Linked DNA regions of Daphnia pulex. The protein of the gene in region 1 purifies or fractionates together with the protein of each later gene. This does not show direct contact. Links are inferred from orthologs where the notes say so. Each region holds a gene or a part of one and is shown on either strand. Other genes may lie near its edges.

Region 1 (3,753 bases):
ACGCGGATGAATTTTTTTTACATGATTTGGCAGCCAGTTTGCGAGAATCGGCAGTGGAGGAGACGGGGGTACAGGCAAGTTCAATCCAATTGTGTCAGTCAGACGTCATTGCGAGTCTAAATTTAGACCGAGAATCAAAGATTAACAATTTTGCATGGAAAGGACTTTCTTCTGACTCCTCCCCTGATACACGCCTCTTGAGCTCCCTGCCACTGACGGGGGGAAAAAAAAAGGAAAGCTAACACGTAGACAAAACAACTGAGGAGTCTGGGTTAACTATTGTTAGTCCCGTTCGCACTGGTCAGGTCGTTGGTTGGATCTGTCGTCATACTGTCGCGACTGCTCTGTTCAACCGGCTGCTCCTCTTGCTGCTGTTTGGTGTTATCCATCGTCTCGTCGTCGTGAGGGTCGATGGCTTCCCTGCTCTTTTTCAACTTGTCCAGATACTCTTGTTGCGATGCAGCCAGCACTTGAGCCAAAAGTCCAGCATCCTCCCAGTCTGCTAAACCTTTAGCCAATTTTAAAGCATAAAATTAAACTGAAAATATCTGTTGATATAAACGTCAGTTACCAAACATGTCAGGAGGCAACTGTCCCAGGAATGAAGCCGTTTCAGCCAATTCAAAGCCTGGCCCCAATCCCCAATCGGGTTTACTGGTGTTCACTGGGTTTGAACTTGAAGTACCAGCGGCCGGTGACGCGATAGGGCTAGTTGATGCACCTTCACGACTACTAGAGGTTGTGGCGCTGCGTGAAGTGGACGCTCTCGGTGAAGCATTTGGAGACTTCCGCTGGTGTTCAACAAAAGATGGTTTGGGCGAATTACGAGCTGAAGAGGACGTCGTTGCTGTTGTTCTTGGGGAACGGAGCTCGCAGGCATTCGAGGAAGTGGTTGCCGAATGACCGGACCGTTGCTGCTGTCGACTGCGTCGCTCGTTTTCTCTAAGCCAGTCGAGGTAACTTTCACGGGCAACTTGCTCTTCAATAGCTTCATTTGTTGCCTCCCAATCTGTGGCTTTAACTTTATCTTCTAACATGGCTTTTTCAATTAAGGTCTCTTCACTTTGTCGCATGGCATCACCCATTAATTTCTTGTCTGCTTGACCAGGGACAAATCCTGGCAATCCCAGTCCTACTCCCACAGTGGCTTTGTACGGATCAACCAAACTGTTGTAGTGCACTCCACGATGATAAGACAATCGAATAGGTTCGTCATCAGTCTGATGTTTACCATGGAAAATATTGATCGGCTCTGTAATGGGTTAAATTTAAGTAAGCCTTCTATTTAGCGAATTTTATCGAAATGATAAGGGCTTACCGACGCTGTAGCAAAATACTTCAATATGTCTGTTGTACATTTCGCTCATAGCCTGCATCTCAATGTGATTGCCATGTACATTTTCCAATCTTTTTCTACTCACATAGGCGGCAAAGTCTTCAGTCATATACTGTGAAAAGTAGTCTCCGTTTGCGTCCTTTTATGACAAATATAAATATAGACGTAATGTTTCAAATTCATAAAAATACAACAGGACAATTACTTACAATATAGTCCATACAATGTTTGCGAACCATTGAGTGCATTTCTTGATCACCGTAGATTTGATCAGAAACGGCACGAAACAAGCAGGCTCCGTCTTCACCCATCCGCTTAATAATAAAACCTCGTTTCCGCATCTTTTTCTCAAACCATCTTTCCTTCTAATAATCATATTGGCATTGATGGAGTTCTATGAATAACACTTCTGTCTTAGGAAACATACCTGTTCCCATTCTTCTTCAGAAATGGGGACATTAGAAGATGAAGATCTTGCAGGTCCATATTCATCTCCACTGTTATATCCACTTCCTGATTCATCTTCATGGGAAGAAGGATCTGGTACTGTATGGCTTGGTGTGGGAGAACTTCCTGAGCTGGATGAAGAGGCAACACTGTGCATGGCTGAACTAGTACTAGGTATGGCAGAGGTTGATGAATTCCTATCTCTGTGCTTGGGGCGGACAGCTCTAAATAAAAAAAAAATATGCCTGTCAAATTTCAATGCAACAAAATAATAACTGAGATTAAATACCTATGGGGACTGACTCTCATTCTTCTTTTTGTTTGACTAGGACCACTCTCCAGGTCATAATCTTCATAGCGAGATGATGACTGGCTGCTGTGTCCGTGGCTGTGGGGATGGCTTGATGATGTTCTTCCAGACAGCCTAGACACACTGCAAGTTTCTGCTACCTGTAAAATTTATGTAAAATACATTTTAATAAGAATCAACAATGCTGACTTTTTGTCATCTTTGTCAATAATAGTTATCAATACTATTTGCTTTTATTCATTGAGCACTGCCTAAATGGCAAGGGTGTAATGAACAAAGCACCATTTGCTTCTTGTACATAAGTACTGGTTGTAGCTGGACCGGCCATTTTGTGTGGTTGTTTCAGATGTCAATTAGAAGATGCACTGAAACTTCCAGCCATAATTTCTTCCAAAGGCTGTTTAAATACTGGGGTATATTTATAAAAATAATTTTTTTACCTGTGGTACTGGTCCAATGTGTGAAAGGTGATTATTGCTCCCAACTGAGAGGTGTTGTAGGGGAGATCCATCAGTATTACTTTCGGATTCCGACCGTGATTGAGATGACTTCTTTTTCGGCAGAATTGTCATGATGCTTGTGCAAAGATCACTCTCTTTACCGAAACGCCCTTGAAATGTACTCTTCGACGATTTCTTTTATCTATTCAACGAAAAAGACAAATTTTCCACTGAAAGATGGCCGTGTCTATTTTTCTGTCTAAATTATTTAGAGGTTGCCATGTCGATGAATAAGCGAAAACATAGAGTTTCAAAATGTTTCAAATTTTCAATGGAATGAATTTTCGGAGTGATGCTATGAATAAAAAACATAATTTTTCATGTTTGCAAAATTGTGTTGAAAAATATTTTTTAGCTAGCTTCTAGCTAATATGTATTTTTCAATTTCCGAATTTTTGCTCGAAGAAGGCAACCAAGGATGTTAATTGTATACGAACATTCTGTCTGCTCTGCCAGTATTGTGACATTGACTTCGTTTTGATCGTGTGTCTGGAATTTTACTTTTTAAGTGAAACATTGCATAACTTCTGCCAGGAAGGAATAAAATCACCCTGCATATACCTTTCAGGTAGGTGAATTAATTATTGTAGCATTATTGTAGAACCTGTCGTAGGTTCCTTCTAGCATGAAGTAAGAAAACGAGCAGAAGATGTAAAGCACAAAAAAAATAAAAATAAATACAAATCGACCGACAGAGGGTGTTGACCGAGCTCGAGTTAATATTTCGCTCAAGGCGCAGTAAGTGCCCTTGTCTCAAGTAGTTTTGAGTTTTATAATAACGCGAAGGGACAGTGAGTAGAGTCAGTGGCATCTGGCCTGTGCGAACGCTGAAAATTACTAAACGAAAAATTCTAAAAGAGTAAACAGTTGCATCAGTCCATCAGACACATCCAAGCATAGTGGCAGTCAACATGGATAGCCAAGTACTGCTGGTTGTCACTGCTTTGATTGTGTACATTGTTATGGCAATTTGTGCTTTGATTCCAGTCTGCATTGTAGCCAAGAAATCTACCAAGGACTGCAACTTTAGTCGTGGTACAGAAAGAATAATTTCATTCTGTAATTCCATGGCTGGTGGAGTCTTCATCGCAATGTGCTTTCTAGGACTACTTCCTTATGCGCAAGACAAGACGAGGAAAGTGCTTGCAGACCTTAATATA
Region 2 (3,753 bases), on another chromosome or scaffold:
TTGGCAAATCTTTCCCGGATTTGTATGACACGGTAGATTTCCGGATCTTATCGCCTTCCAAGCGTCCCTAAAACCAAATCAGATTTTAATGTTATTCTTTTGCACATTTATTTTCTTTTTGTCTTCTTTACCTTCTGCTGAGCAAGCCGAAGTTTGGCTTCTTCATTTAGATGAGAAGCCAATTCTTTTTGATGTTGCTTACGTTTTTCTTCGGTAGATGTTTCCTGAAAGAAACACAAATTATAAATTATAACAATGGAAAATGATAAGAAGAAAAGTACTATGTACCCGAAGTTTAGAATCAAGAATAGCGGTCCGCTTGCCTCGACCTAAATTCTGGGGCTGTCGTGATGGCTTTTCTTCGTCCTCTTCCTCCTCCTCTTCTTCCTCTCCAGATTCATCTTTAAGGAATATACCGATATTCTTAATCCTTTTTTTCGAAGCAGTAAGTATAGTAGCTGGACCCTAAAAATAATGTTACTCGTCAAAAAAACAAGTAGAAGAAAAAGTTCAAAATTATAACTTACATCGGATACAATAACAGTGTCGCTCAAAAACAAAGCCTAATATTTTAAAAATAAAATAATATATATTTAAATAAACAAATAAATAAATAAATATTATTAATTTATATAAATACATATTTCTTATAGCGATCATCGGTGCCATCAGAATTTTCCAAGTCAGCAAATCCAAGATTGACATTGAAGACCATTCCTTTTTTGACAACTGCGTTATTCTTCGGGCCGATCACCAAAGAGCTTTCTCGAAATTCAATTCCGGTAACAAAGCCAAGGGTTTTTGTCATCTTGTCAAGAAGGGCTGGTTTTTCTTTCTTTACGTATGCCTCAGCAGCATTATAAACATCGCTAAACTTTGCTCCTTCGACGAGAGATTTCAAAATTTCGTCTTCAACCGATAACAAGAAGTTGTATGTCTCCTACAAGTTCATAAGAATGTAATCTAGACTCATTTATGGAAATATCTTTTTCTTTACCTGCATCTTTTCAGTGGGGTTGACAAGAAGGGTTCGACCAATATTGGAGCAGTAAGATTTGTAACGTGCTCCTAAAAGACAAACAATTGCTCCAAAATGAAGGGGTTTATCATCACTGTGAAATAAAAAGAAGCATTAATGTATTCACATAAAGTTTGCTAATTGATAGATGTACCTCACTGCACTAAATTTCAGGCTGTAATTCCCTCCACTTTGAATTATGGCTGGATAACACATATCAACTTGACCCGTATCGACACCAGAAACATATTTCTTGTCAGTGGCTGCGTTCTCCACTCCTTCGGCTAATTTTGAATGTTTGACCTTGACAAATAAATTCAAATTAAGTCCCATTGAAAAAAAAATAATAAATTTTTCAAACCTTTTTATCTGCATCTACAATTTCCATAACCTGTTCTTTTAAATATTTGTTGAATAAATCAACAGATACTTGACATGCTTTCTTGATCACATTCAGTTCAGATTCTTCTTTAGGAGCCATCATATAAGCTGCCCCAGAACTAACATCAACTGTCCTGAAAATATGATTTCACACATTGTTATCTATATATTTCTAATAACACTTTCTAATGTTTCTTACTCAAATTTTTCTTTCTTGATGGCATTGTTCCATGCATCCATGAACTCTCCATGAAAACTGTCTTTTGAGAACACTCCAAGCTTTTTTCCTTTTTTAGATTTTTTCAATGCTTCAATAAGTTTCACAAAATTGGCTTTATCTTTGTCGCTCTAAAAAAATAGAAAAATTTCTTTGTTGAAGTTCCATGTTTCTAACATGGAAAATATGTATCATGATTTACTTTGTCACGAATCAACAGCTTAACAGCGGGCAAGCCTTTCTCTTCTTTAATTGCCTCCAGCGGGCGTAAGAAATCTATCTTCTTCTTACTTGCAAGGAAATAGATGGAATCTTCACACAGAGCCATAACTGTATCAGTCAATTCATATCCAAGAAGCCATGATTGTAAAGCAGATGTTTTGCTGTACACAACTTCCTCATCCGCCCCCAAAGCTGTGACCAATGCATCCATATCAGCAAACCCAAGTTCAGAGTCTTCATTCTATAAGATATTATATCATTGCATGAAATGAAATCCAACTGTCATGGTTGTTTGACGCCAACTTACCTTCCAAGACGAATAGAATCGCTTTATCCTTCGAAAGAACACCTCTCTATCTGCAGCGAGACTTCCCATTTTCAGTAACAAATGGGATCATCCAAGTCGAATGGGAAACTGCAATATTTCAACTTGAAACTACGAATCTGGAATGGCGAAATTGTACTGAGGTTCGTTACAAAAAACTGCCAGACCGTTTACCCAACGCAACCCATGCTTTTCCCTCTAAAAAGCAGAATGAAGTTCATAAAGACCTGGGCGTTGCCAACTATGATTTTAATAATAATATTATCCATTGATTTTTCAGAAATATCAGAGCAATAGATACCTGGTCGGTTCTCGGCCGTGTTGGCTTCCCCATCTCGATTTTAGGGTAAACGTGGTCCGATTTTCAGGGGGTTTTAGGGCGGGGCCTGTCATTGGAAACTAGAAACAGAGCCATCTAGGCTCTCAAAAGTAGCTGAGCGTAGTAGCTGACACACTCACTAGAGCGCTCATTCCAGTTTCCAAATCGGACCACGTTTACCCTGAAACCGGGATAGGGAAGCCAACACAGCCGAGAACCGACCAGGGATTCTATAGCTCTGGAAATATGCATATTTTTTTATTTTTTTTAAGATTTTTATGCTACAGGATATTTATGTCCTACTGCATGAATCTAAGTGAATACTTCGAATTCGAAATCATGACAAACAACTTGTTGCTTTTCGGAATTTGGCATCCTTACAGAATTGCAGACTACGCGAAAAGTCCATTCCCTCAGTCAGTGTCAATATTTTTACGTATGACTGAACTAAACAGTACAATCGGCCAGTGCACCTATCTTCAAAAAAAAACAAACAAACAAACAAACAGTACAATTCCCTAAAAATGGTTTCAGTACAAAAGTCCATCAAATGCATTTTTTGCCAGATTTGTGAAGGTCTGGCGCCAGCAACTATCGTTCATCAGGTTAAGGCTCTTCCTCTCTCATTTTTGACCAATTAAATTATGCGTTTTGTAGCAAATAGGTTTATTTTCTTCCAGGGAATCAATTAATCTAATGTAGACTAGCTATTACCTGAAAATCACAGTAAGAAATGGCTTAGATATATTAAAATAAGGTACTTAATAAGATAAAGATATACATTTCCTAATGCTGTATTTCCTTTCATAAATAGGATGTAAAATATTTGGCTTTTAATGACATCAAACCATCTGCTAAAAACCACCTTCTAGTCATTCCTAGAGATCACATCAATGATATTAAAAGTCTTACCATAGAAACAGTCAGCATGGGTAAATTGCCTGATTATCAATTCAAATAAACTTATCAATATTTTTTTATTAGTTGAAGAAATGGTAGCTGTAGGACAGCAACTTGTGAAGAATCATGGAGGAGACTTGAGTGATTGCAGGTATCATATGGATTCTTACCCTCATAAAAAATTGGTAGTAATGATTTCAACTAAATTGTAGAATGGGATTTCATTGGCCTCCTTTTAATTCTATTAAACATCTGCACCTACACGTGATATTTCCTGAGAGTGCTATGAGTTTTATAGGACGTCAAGTATTTCGGCCCGGAACATTTTATTTCGCAACGGTACTACTTACGAATTTAAAACCTTTGAATGT
Region 3 (3,753 bases), on another chromosome or scaffold:
GGCGTTGCCGAAAAAGTCTTTTTTCGCCTCCTCTTCTGCTGCTGTGTGTGTGCTGATTTCCCTTTTCGCTGGCTTGACTTGCGACGGATTTGACACGAAATTATTGCGGGTGCACTCACGGACGACTGAGGGTTCGGGAGCGACGCCTTTACCTCACCAGGTGATGCGTCTCTGATTGGTGCACCTCTCGAGGGCTCGGGTGTTGGCGGGTTATACATGGTGGTAACTTCTTTTTCTACCCTCCCCTTCTTTTTCGTGGTAAAAATTACTTACACAAAAGTCGTAACAAACGGACGCAAATAAGCGACGAGTTTAGGACATTCAGAGCCACCTATCAACCGAAACTAGCAGCTTGACCGAAAGTGTTTTTGTATTTTTTGTCTTCTTTTCGGGTGTACACAATTATTACGAGGCGGGAAGAAAAACAGTTTAAACAGTACGTGTGAGTGTAGTTGTTTGTTTTTTTGGCGTCTTTTTTATTTTGACGGGATTATTTGATAGACGATACAAATGTGGAAAAAAAAAGCTTTTTCATTCAAAATGGAATTTTGAGTTAAGTTATGATGTCTCCATGGCGACGTCAGATTCTGTAAAAATGTTATTTTTCAATGAATACACAAAAGAAAATCTCAGACGTAATGATTCAGGTACTTACTTGGTTCGTCCTCTTCGTTAAACATGAATTCATCTTGAATGTCCTTCAGATACTGGGTGGAACGGGTTTCATCCAGGAATAGCGTGTACGCCTTTTTAATATCTTCTACGGCAATCTATTTAGATAAGAGCATAAAGCAAATGATTAATAACGTGCTGTCTGAATACAGTCTGAATACCAACCTCCATGGCCTTTCGTTTGCGAGCTATGAGATTAGCAACCGTGATGAGCTGAATGGCATAGCGTAAGCTAGTTTCCAAGGAAAGCCTCGTCAAAACGAGTAGAGCATCTTCCGTCATCTCGGCGTCTTCCTCTTCGCACCTGTGCAAAGAAAATATCAATTAAGGCAAAGCCAACGCATCAAATAATTGAAATGATAATTTTACCGGATTTTCAGAATTTGCTTCATTTCCTTTTCCACGTACGGCTGCGTGGCAATGATCACCATCCGATCAAGCAAATCAATTGGGATGCCGTGGGGACTCCGATATTTGGTTCCGCGAATTTTAGTAATTCCACGATTAGTGGCCATAATCAACACTGGCGCCATATCATCTTCCAGAGCACGATTCAAAAATGAAAAACATTCCATGTCTAGCATGTGCACCTACGTCGAGACATGACGGTACGAATAAATATATGCAGGAAGGAGAATGGTATGAAGATTTAATCACAAACTTCATCAATAAATAAAACTCCCGGGACGATTTCCGCTTTGCCCTCTTCGCGCCATTCGGCGACTTTGCTATTGATCTGGTCCCGGACTTCGGATTTGATTTCACCAGTATCCCCTATTGAATGCAAAACAAGAGATTTAATTTTGTAAACTTTCAAGGTCGGGAAATTAAAAATGTATGTGAGCTCACCAGAGAAGAGGGCGAGAAAACCCTGAGTTCTGCTATTGATTACGTCAATCTCGTGCAAGGTGACTGTGTGAGTCACTTCTTTCCGCTTTTGTAATTCGCCTACGTAAATAGAATAGGAGTGGTGTAAGAATATCGTACGATGTCGTCGTCGTCGTCGTAAACCACTTGACCAAAACTGGAATTTAAATAATATACCTTCGGGACACTGAACAAATCTGGTTTGCGGTCCAGTTGCGTCGTAATCCCTAGCCCTAGTGAACGATCGTCCGAGTTTCGAGATCTTGCCAGTGGCTTTGTCGATGGTAATGACGTCTCCAGCTTGGGCCTGAACCACACAAAGATATGTATACAAAATTGAAACACTTTTGTCAAACAAATTACACACCTTTTCCTTGATGAGGGATTCAATCATTTTGTTGCCCAAATCGTACACAGTTTCCATGTCTGTTGTCTTTAATGTCAGCTTTCCAACTTTAGCACCAGTTCCGGTAGCAGGTCTATCAATTTGAACTTCAACAACCTCACCCTCAATGATCTCAGTTTCTTCTCTGTTGAAAACAAATGAAAAATAAGGTTACAAGATTTCTAGGTTGAACAAATTTTGAGTTCACATCTACTTGATTCGAACTCCAATAGATTTTCGAAATGCTTGAGTTAGAGCTTCAGTTTTGCTCATTTCAAGGCTGTAGATTTCCGATCCGGCCATGGATGTGAAAGGTGTGTTGTCCCCGAGAGCCTGTGCCATACCCATGGCAATTGCAGTTTTGCCTAAAAAGTAAACCAAAGTGTTATAAACCAAATAATGGGATGTTTATTGCAGATTCAAAGACAATGTTAACCTGTTCCTGGCTGTCCAGCAATCAATACTGCTCTCCCCGCAATTTTTCCTTCTCTAATCATTTCCAGTACCACACCAGCAGCTCGTCGTGCTGTCAACTGGCCAACCATGCCTTGGGACACCTAACAATCATTTTGATATGTAACTTGTACGATTCTTTTATTCAAATTATTCAAAAGTACTTCTCTTGGTTCCAAAGCATCATCAAGTCCAAGACCTCGAATGTGAGAGTGAGTACCGATTCGTTCAATTCGAGAGAATTCTCGCACTTCTGCTACTTTAACTGATGGGATCGCCTAAAAAATGAAACGATATGGTCCAGAAATAAAAAAAGCACACAAGGGAAACGGAAAAATTAGCCATTTTATCCAAAATAAAGAATTATAACACGTGTATATATTACCGCCATGATTTGCTTTTTACAGTGCGTTGAGTTTCCTATCCTTCCCGTTCAACGCCGGTGGTATCCATGGAAACGGTTTTGAATTGATTGTTCGCTTTACATTCTTTTTTAAAGCATTTGTAATATTATACATCAACATTAAATTTTATTAAATTAAATTATATGAAATTTTAAAACACTTATCGACTTATTTACTACTTTCCTCGAATCTTAAAAAAATTATCAAACATGGCAATGCTGATTTTAGCTCCAACTTTCAAAGGCATAAAAAGGAGCAATGATTTCTTGACAAAAGCTCATTAGCTAGCCTAGTGGCTGTCTGAAACACATCTTTGGTGTCGATTACTACTTCAACGCAAACGTAATCAAATTTTTTTTTAGATTTTTTATGCATATATTCGATTATGATTGTTTTACACAAACCATTTAGCATCTACTGACTTTTTCCAAATGAAAATTTTAGAAAATGTGGAATTCAGAATGTTATAAAGTAAAATTTGTTGGATCAGAGACACGTGCATTTTCAGGACAAACGTTAAGTGAATTCAGTGTACATTGAGTGAGACATAGACTTAGAGAGATTTTCATTTTTGTAACGGGATTCCCAAACGGGAGAGAAAGAGACTTGTGTTACTTTTCACATGGAAAAAATATACCTCGATTTTTGTAAATTTTCATTCTTTTGTAGATGAACAGTTTCATGGTTGACATAGTATTTTAGCAGGGTTGTTACTTTAAATGTAAATAACAAAACAATTATACATTTTTGATTAACCGTGTTTCGCTGTCACCGTCTTCCGTAGTGTAGGTGTTATTCCGCCAGTAAAGTAATCTAAATAGCTCAACAAAACCAACTGAACACTGTTCTTTACCAATTTGCCAGCTAATTTGGTTGTTTTTCTAGGCAAGTCTTTGTCTGAAAGCTAAAAATGGGAAGTAATCGTTCAAAGCATTAGAAAGAGACGACAAAAAATGTGTGCAAATCAATTTG

What was found.
Region 2: the proteins of OTU domain-containing protein 5-B-like (region 1) and FACT complex subunit spt16-like purify together in Homo sapiens (affinity purification with mass spectrometry; 3 studies listed by BioGRID, with this or other methods). This does not show direct contact. The link is inferred for Daphnia pulex from reciprocal best matches to the Homo sapiens genes OTUD5 and SUPT16H.
Region 3: the proteins of OTU domain-containing protein 5-B-like (region 1) and ruvB-like 2 purify together in Homo sapiens (affinity purification with mass spectrometry, with the first as the bait; 3 studies listed by BioGRID). This does not show direct contact. The link is inferred for Daphnia pulex from reciprocal best matches to the Homo sapiens genes OTUD5 and RUVBL2.

What each region holds. Positions count from the first base shown.
Region 1 is NC_060018.1:2,564,215-2,567,967, forward strand, and holds the start of OTU domain-containing protein 5-B-like, read right to left. Parts: upstream 2,817-3,753; 5' UTR 2,666-2,816; coding exon 2,534-2,665; intron 2,234-2,533; coding exon 2,073-2,233; intron 2,008-2,072; coding exon 1,764-2,007; intron 1,702-1,763; coding exon 1,546-1,701; intron 1,476-1,545; coding exon 1,319-1,475; intron 1,253-1,318; coding exon 572-1,252; intron 509-571; coding exon 273-508; 3' UTR 1-272. Other genes in the region: zinc transporter ZIP1-like, read left to right, coding at 3,505-3,753. UniProt on the Homo sapiens protein: Deubiquitinating enzyme that functions as a negative regulator of the innate immune system. Has peptidase activity towards 'Lys-48'- and 'Lys-63'-linked polyubiquitin chains. Can also cleave 'Lys-11'-linked ubiquitin chains (in vitro).
Region 2 is NC_060017.1:5,830,583-5,834,335, reverse strand, and holds the start of FACT complex subunit spt16-like, read right to left. Parts: upstream 2,473-3,753; 5' UTR 2,215-2,472; coding exon 2,146-2,214; intron 2,080-2,145; coding exon 1,819-2,079; intron 1,748-1,818; coding exon 1,599-1,747; intron 1,534-1,598; coding exon 1,380-1,533; intron 1,322-1,379; coding exon 1,173-1,321; intron 1,113-1,172; coding exon 998-1,112; intron 941-997; coding exon 641-940; intron 564-640; coding exon 528-563; intron 466-527; coding exon 289-465; intron 225-288; coding exon 132-224; intron 68-131; coding exon 1-67. Other genes in the region: adenosine 5'-monophosphoramidase HINT3-like, read left to right, coding at 3,007-3,087, 3,297-3,414, 3,467-3,533, 3,595-3,721. UniProt on the Homo sapiens protein: Component of the FACT complex, a general chromatin factor that acts to reorganize nucleosomes. The FACT complex is involved in multiple processes that require DNA as a template such as mRNA elongation, DNA replication and DNA repair.
Region 3 is NC_060021.1:8,103,625-8,107,377, forward strand, and holds ruvB-like 2, read right to left. Parts: upstream 2,865-3,753; 5' UTR 2,769-2,864; coding exon 2,763-2,768; intron 2,656-2,762; coding exon 2,542-2,655; exon of another isoform or gene 2,482-2,541; coding exon 2,361-2,481; exon of another isoform or gene 2,342-2,360; intron 2,290-2,341; coding exon 2,139-2,289; exon of another isoform or gene 2,100-2,138; intron 2,070-2,099; coding exon 1,907-2,069; intron 1,847-1,906; coding exon 1,717-1,846; intron 1,621-1,716; coding exon 1,522-1,620; intron 1,447-1,521; coding exon 1,334-1,446; intron 1,263-1,333; coding exon 1,042-1,262; intron 977-1,041; coding exon 838-976; intron 771-837; coding exon 656-770; intron 588-655; coding exon 559-587; 3' UTR 353-558; downstream 1-352. Other genes in the region: uncharacterized protein LOC124194162, read right to left, coding at 3,533-3,685. UniProt on the Homo sapiens protein: Possesses single-stranded DNA-stimulated ATPase and ATP-dependent DNA helicase (5' to 3') activity; hexamerization is thought to be critical for ATP hydrolysis and adjacent subunits in the ring-like structure contribute to the ATPase activity.